2 linked regions of the Neurospora crassa OR74A genome follow. Each later gene encodes a partner of the first gene's protein in a complex. Links are inferred from orthologs where the notes say so. Each region holds a gene or a part of one and is shown on either strand. Other genes may lie near its edges.

Region 1 (3,711 bases):
ATGTCTGCTCTTAAGGCCGGTGACTCTTTCCCCGAAGGTGTTACTTTCACCTACGTCGCGCCCAGCGGTGACACAGACCTTACCGTCTGCGGTCTTCCCATCCAGTATGATGCCAGCAAAGGCAAGTAAATATATCATGGCTCACTCACAAGGAACCCTCACATCATCTTTGACTTGTATTTTTTCTCTCCACACCTATCTATATACTAACGCAATCTCTTACCCACGACGTAGCGTTCGCGAACAAGAAGGTCGTCCTCGTCGCCGTCCCCGGTGCCTTCACCCCCACCTGCCAGCAGCAGCACGTCCCCTCGTATCTGGCCAAGCTCGAGGAGTTCAAGTCCAAGGGCGTCGACCAAATCATCTTCATTGCCAGCAACGATGCGTGGGTGATGGCCGCTTGGGGCAAGGCCAACGGTGTTAAAGATGAGTCTATTGTAAGTAATAATTCATGTCCCTCCTGCCCCCCCTCACCACACCTAACTGACACGCAACGAATGTTTAGCTCTTTATGTCCGATGCCGACTGCAAGTTCAGCAAGAGCATCGGCTGGACCCAGGGTGACCGCACCAAGCGCTATGCTATTGTCATCGACCACGGCAAGGTTACCTACGCCGAGTTGGATGAGGTGCCTAAGAGCATCGCCAACACTGGTGCCGACGGTGTCCTGGCTAAGCTCTAAATAGAGAAAAAGGGGGCATGGAAAAGCCAAAGCAAAGAAACAAAACAAAGGCAAACAGTAATCATCTACACCGGCAAAACTCATATACTGTGGTTGGGAGCAAAAGTAGAAACCCCCCTGCCAGGCACTTTTTTGCACAGACAATATGTGTTCAATACCTGCTTTACCTAATTAGACTTACCCACCACACCAAGTAGAGAAGTAATAGGAACCAAAACAAATGTCAAGGGGAACGCGATGATAGTCGCGGGATACTCTTGTTGTGACTGGGTATTTGCTTGATAGAGTATCACGAGGTATAGAGAATAGAAGCCGCGTGATATGCCTTTTGCCCGCTGAAGCGCAGCGTTATATTATGATTGCCAGGTCCCTGTTCCTTCGTCCCAACGGCCCCAAAACTTTTTCTCGCCTCCCTAGTATCACAGGGAGGTGGGATATGGATTTTGTTCGTCTTTGACCAATGCATAAGTCGGCATTCTGTTAAGCTACCCATGCAAAGCGTTTGATGTCATATCCGTTAGACGCAGGGATCCATGCAACCGGCCCTTCCAGAAACCAAGCTGTTGTATTGTTTTCGTTAAACGAGACGAAAACCCTCCAGCTGAGTGCAGGCAAAAAAAAAGAACCGAGAACCGACCAGACCGACTCCGCGTATCCCTTCCAGCTTGCCACGCAGGACCGTAAAGACATTCCATTCTCCCTTCACATCATCGTGTCCCCCGACCGACAAGACCGCATTTAACGGGACTTGGCAGCGACCTTGACGGGCGCACCCTTGGCACCCTGCTTGGAGGTGACACGGGCCTTGGGGTTGGCAGCGTTCTTGGCCTTCTCAGCCTTCTTGGCGGCCTGAGTCTCCTGCTTCTTGGCCTTGGACTCCTTGATGGCGGCGAGACGAGCGGCGGAGCGGGCCTCAGGGCGCATGGAGCGGCGCTCCTTGATCACCTCGAGGGAGGCACCGACGATGGCACGCTGGGCCTTGACGGTACGGCGGGAGCGCTTCTTGGCGACCTCCTGTAATGGGTGTCAGTCATCTGCTTCGCGCAACGGTTTCCCCCCCATCGATCCCCTTCACCCAGTTGCGCGTGCGTCCAAAGTATCCGTATTCGCGATATCCCTCTCCGTCGAAGTCTCGAAGTCTTCGATATTGCTTCGGCAGAATCGGTAGAATAGGGGGCTGGTGACGGTGTGCGCAACGGGGGAAGAAGATTGGGCCCGAGTGCGGATATGTGGTTTCTTGCGTACCTCAGAGATACCCTTCTTGTGCTGGCGGCGGTAGAGGACAGTCCAGGCAATGCGGCGGGGGTTCTTGCGCTGGAGGAAAAGCGACTCGGACTTGCCGTTCTGGAAACGGAAGATCTTGCTGTCGCCACGGACGTACAGCTTACCCTAACGGTGTCAAAGAAAACATGTCAGCACTTTTATCACGGTGGCTGTATTTCCCTTCTCTTGTTGTTCTGGCTCGTCCTTCATGATCCCCCTCAATCAGAATATCGTTGACGTCGCGGGAACGAGATCCGTCAATATCTCTCCCTCGCTCTCGCAAAGTCGTTCCCTCCCCAAATCCAAGACCAAGACCAATTCCCCACGGGTTCAGATCCCGGTAGCATTTTCGAGCCGCAAATCATTTTGGACGGGCAAAAAAACCGTACCTTTCCAGGGTAGATCCTCTGGCCGGAGAAGGTATCGTCGTACGTTCTCATTGTGGCGGTTTGCTGTCGAGATTGTCGGTTGTCGGGAGATGCTTCCTCGAAGGTGCAATGTTCCAGCGTCGATTTTCCTCAATTTCTTTCCGCAGCGAGGTTGTGCGATAGGGCTGCCTTGTGATAGGCTGGCCGCACGGACCATGTGGTCCACTTCAGCGTTGGGGTGGCTCAAGTGGGCTGGCAGCGGGCTGGCAACGCGGGCAGGAACAATCGCCGCCACTTATCTGCCAGGTGGTCCGGGCTGTAGGACGTCATCCTCAAGCAAATCTATAGCCCAATTTACCATTAACAAGTGCGGAACGAACGAAGGGTATCTGGTTTACTTTTTGGTCGCGAAGCATCACCACTGTAATTTGCATGAACAAGGTACACTCACCTCGGAGTTCCGTCTGAAAACCTGTGTGATTTTTATGTTCTGCGTTCTGCGTCTGGTGCATGCGGTTTGCTCCATTGATTTTCCGTACTTCCACGTTACGAACTGGCTGTCAACGGCTAACCCCAACCCTTGTCAAACGACAAGTGCTTCATCATCAAAGTTTGGAGGTTGTCCCAAGTCAAGTCGTTCTTTCCAACGCATGCAAACATACGAAAACGTCAAAATTACACCGACCTTAACTTGCAAAGTTATAATGATTGATGCAGACGCAATTGCCTCTGCTGTGCTTGAAGAATTCAGCAAACTCCCCGCGAAACGGAAGCCCAGTGTCCGCGACAATGGTCTTCACGAATGGGTTCCTATGGCCGGCATTGTAGCCAAAGGTGCTGCTCGTTATGTGCCTGGAAGAAATCCAAACTCTTTACTGATACAATCTCTAGGCCCAAACGGACTGAAATGTGTAGCTTTGGCGTAAGTACGTACAATGGATCGCCGGGACCACTGAAGTGTCCAATGTGCCTCATGATCACGCAAGATAAGTCTGTTGCTGGAGCTAAGGATGGTTTGTTGGTCATAGAACAGGTATGAAGTGCCTTCCGGCATCCAAGCTGCCCCAAGCCAACGGAGTGGCCATTCATGACTGGCACGCCGAGATACTTGCTATACGAGCTTTCAACCGGTTCATCCTCGAAGAGTGTAAACGCCTCGCTCTTCAGGGGGATGGTGCATCGCAATCCGAGTTCATCTACCGAAGGATAACAACCCAACATGAAAACCAAGGACAGCAAGGAACAGCAGAAGTATGGCAAGGACAACCGTTCGCCTGGAGGGAAGATGTGAGCTTACACATGTACTGCTCCGAAGCGCCTTGTATGTGTGTCCCCGCTGCCCAAACCCCCCCTTCACCAGAGACGACTCGACCCCGGTAAAGCCCATGACTACTAACA
Region 2 (3,741 bases), on another chromosome or scaffold:
CAGGGGCTTCTTGTGTGCGGCCGATGGTCATGAAGAAGAGGGAGAGGAGCTGTAGGCAGCTCTCGAGGACTCTGTCGACTACGGGGGTGGTGTTAGATTTTCCTTGTTCAATTGGCAGCTTGGGATGGGCTATGGAGGATGGGCGTACCTCTGGTCTCGGTCACCTTTTCCCCTTTCCTAATCTCGTTGAGTTCCTTGACCTGCTCGACAACCTGATCATAGTGTACAATCACATCCTGAGTGCGGATGTATTTTGTTCGGTCTCTCTTGAGGAGCAGCAGCTGATCGCGGATGGCTGAGAGCTTGTCGAGAATGGCTTGTTCCCGCTCATCTTTCGGCATGGGCATCGCCGGAGTCTCCATTGTCGCTATGTGTTTATTGTGTTGTGTTGTGTTGTTTTGTGTTGGGTGTTTATGGGTAAAAGTCGGTGAAGTCGGTTGCGATGTCTGAGAGTTGGCTCGTTTTCGTTACTTGGATGATGCCGTTCGAGGGTCGATGTTGGTTGAAGGAAAAGAAAAGGCGCGAAAGGATTGTTGAGAATGGGAAAGACGCAGCCAAGCAATTGGGAAAAGGATGGTGTTGCCGGAGCAAGGGAATGAATGTTGGAAACGGGCGATTCCTTGTCCAAGTCCAGCTTTCTTTGATCCAAGGAGTAGACTTGGTCTATGTAATGTAATGCGCCTCAACAATGGCAAAGAGAGCGGGATGCAAGTTCAGTTGTTTGTCCGGTTGATGGCGTTTCTCCAAGTACTATGGTATTTCCCCTTTCCGACGGAGGAGTTGACAAGAGTGATGAACGCTGCCTCCTGATTCGTGCGCTTTCCCTTGTTGATCTCACTCTTGTTGGTTTTTGCGGAATTGCTGGACTGAGTGCTGAAATAGGTGCAGATGGATGCTTCTCAGAGACAACCCGACGGGACGGGCTGGCGTGTCGGCAGGCACTCCGCTACGGCAGGAGAAGAGGCCTATGGCGCCCCGAATCCACAGCGGCGACGTCAGTGGATGCATGAATAGCGGCGGGGCGAAGGAGCTCCATGGTAGATAGTGTAGTGCCAAAGGAATGGTGGGGTTCTTGCCGACAAGGGTCGAGGCCTGGCGGAAAGCTTGTCGGACCAGGGCACTCGTCTTGGCAAGGCTGGGCGCCAAACTGCCCGGCCTGAATCGATGAGGTGCTTCCCCAAATTCCAGGCCATACACTATGGTCAACTGGTGGGGGAACATCAGTCGTCCCGATCCGGTACAAGTGCGAGGGACGGCAATGCCCTGGAGGCCAGCACGTGCCTGTTGGGCGGTAGCGGCAGTCAGGGCAGCACTGCCCTGCACCCAGTCCTACCTACAGTACCACCAACCCTCGGGTTCGGGTTGCGAACTGAACCGCTGGTTTGGACCGTGACATCGTGGGGCTGTTGCATTTCCATCTCCCAGCGTGCACAGACCAGGCAAAAAGCAGAACGGCAGCTCAAAAGAGTCTTGGCATCCAAGCCGCTGCCAGTCGCTTGCCAGCTGCCCGCCTTTGTAGGGTCCCAGGGCATTTTTTGAATTGCCCACAACTAATTAAATTTCACTTCCCGCGAATTTCTAGCTAGGACATCATCCCACGATCGAACAGCCCTCCCGAGACTCAGCATCTTTGCGCCTCGACAATCAACACCATCAAAATGTCTACTGCTGAGCTGGCTACCTCCTACGCGGCGCTCATCCTCGCCGATGACGGCGTTGAGATCACTGTGAGTTTGCGACCAATGCACATGATCTTTTGGTTGGCAAGATTTGGGTGGATTCGGGGTTTGGGGACAGTTTCAAGCGCGCCATGTACACACGGTTATTGCTCGACATGCGCTTTCAACGACCGGGACAAATGACGAAACATGGATTGAGGGGCAAACCGAGTGGAGGACAATGAGTGATATGAACAAGCACATTGGGAGGAACAATGTTGACTGACCAAACCCGTTTTCGCATGATATAGGCCGACAAGATCCAGACCATCATCAAGGCTGCCAAGATCGAGGATGTCGAGCCTATCTGGGCTTCCCTCTTCGCCAAGGTACGATGAAACCACCGACGACGACAATCCGAAAAAAAAAAGAAACGATATCTTGAGAGAAACGCGAACACGATAAACTGACTGGAGTCTCTTTTGCGAAAATAGGCTCTTGAGGGCAAGGATGTGAAGGACCTCCTTTCCAACGTCGGCTCCGGTGGTGCCGCCGCTGCCCCCGCTGCCGCTGGCGCCGCTGCCGCTGGTGGTGCCGCTGAGGAGGCCAAGGCTGAGGAGAAGGTTGAGGGTATGTGGAATCATCTACTCCCAAGCTCTTTCCCGGGGCTGTTGCTGCTGCTGCTGCTGCTAGTTACTAACCTGCGTTTTGCACTTTACAGAGAAGGAGGAGTCCGACGAGGATATGGGCTTCGGTCTCTTCGACTAAGCGAAGAAAGGGGGCTTTCTTCTGGTTTGGTCATGACCTCTCGTTTCCAATTTGTTCTTCCAAAGCTTGCATGGGTCTGCGACGGTTTCTCGCACATACGACTTCGGTTATGGGAGGCTTATGATATCAGGGGTTCGGTTCATCGGCGTAGCTTTACACGGACAATGAAGATGCGCTTTTGAGCAAAAGAAGTAAAAACACTTGGAAGCTTGCTCTCCACTTGTTGAAGCGACGGATTTCCACCGTAGCAGACATCCGACTCTACGACCGACAGCGCGCCCGGATCTTGATGGTCGATTGATACCCGGACCTGAGGTTCCTGCTCACCGTTTTGGAAGATGAGCTGGTACAAACTCAAGAAAAGGCAGATAAGACAAATTATCTGTTACTGATTCCAACTTGGGCTAGTGTTTACGACTCGTGTTTGTTTACTTTGTCATGATACGACGTCATCTTCACCTGCGTTTCTTGAAACCCAAACATCACCCCGAGTTGTCAACACAATCTCCGTTTGCGACGCGCTCCAGTCGCGTTCACTTTGATTTCGCACAGCCTCGTGTGTACCTTGCTGGCCATGACTCCATTCCCATGCCAATCTCCAGATTCGTATCCCACTGATCCCAGACGTAGATCTTATCGAAAGTCAACAGCGTGCCTGGCGATAAGATAAGGGGACCAGACGCAAACAGTACAGCCTTATGTCAACACGGATGAAGGCTCACAGTACAGGCGCCGAATCAAAGTCGTCGAATATGTCGTCTCTCGTCCCGCTTTATGACGATCCTGCGATATAACTTTGTGAACCCTAGCTGGAACGTCTTCTGCCGTGTCTACTGCAGATGTGGGTTCATATACTTGATAAGATAAGGGAAGTTCATAACGGAACCGAAGCTTCAAGCACCATCACTGAAGACACTCGACCACACTGCTGGCTTACCAAAAGTATGTTTCTTGTTAACTCTTCATAGATATCCATTCCACCTTAACAGAGCTGCTTATGCATAAAGATAGAGAAACTCGTCCGGTTTGCCTAAAAAACGACTGGGCTGAAATCATCAAGTTAACCGCCAAACCACAGTTAAGAGAACCGCCCATGATGATGCATCCTTAATTACCCGTCTCATCTCTACATAGTAGACCGTACACAACTCGATATGCTTCCCCCTCGTTGGAGGCATGTTGGTTCTTCATGCCTATTTTCCGCAACATCTGCATGCAGTCAGTAATACCCAAATGTCTTTTCACATTTCACTTCGCAGCCAGGACAGCAAACGGCAACGGCAACGGCAACGGCAACGGCAACGGCAATCAATAC

What was found.
Region 2: NCU03150 (region 1) and NCU08960 share a complex: the UniProt entries of both Saccharomyces cerevisiae proteins name them as parts of the large ribosomal subunit. The link is inferred for Neurospora crassa OR74A from reciprocal best matches to the Saccharomyces cerevisiae genes RPL24B and RPP1A.

Annotation. Positions count from the first base shown.
Region 1 is NC_026501.1:4,728,979-4,732,689, reverse strand, and holds NCU03150 (60S ribosomal protein L24), read right to left. Parts: upstream 2,545-3,711; 5' UTR 2,386-2,544; coding exon 2,335-2,385; intron 2,072-2,334; coding exon 1,928-2,071; intron 1,697-1,927; coding exon 1,421-1,696; 3' UTR 683-1,420; downstream 1-682. Other genes in the region: NCU03151 (peroxisomal membrane protein), read left to right, coding at 1-121, 235-437, 506-682; NCU03149 (tRNA-specific adenosine deaminase, variant), read left to right, coding at 3,349-3,634.
Region 2 is NC_026505.1:5,823,305-5,827,045, forward strand, and holds NCU08960 (60S acidic ribosomal protein P1), read left to right. Parts: upstream 1-1,532; 5' UTR 1,533-1,658; coding exon 1,659-1,727; intron 1,728-1,969; coding exon 1,970-2,047; intron 2,048-2,152; coding exon 2,153-2,288; intron 2,289-2,379; coding exon 2,380-2,426; 3' UTR 2,427-3,239; downstream 3,240-3,741. Other genes in the region: NCU08959 (hypothetical protein), read right to left, coding at 1-78, 149-362; NCU17037 (hypothetical protein), read right to left, coding at 835-1,281, 1,338-1,532. UniProt on the Saccharomyces cerevisiae protein: Component of the ribosome, a large ribonucleoprotein complex responsible for the synthesis of proteins in the cell.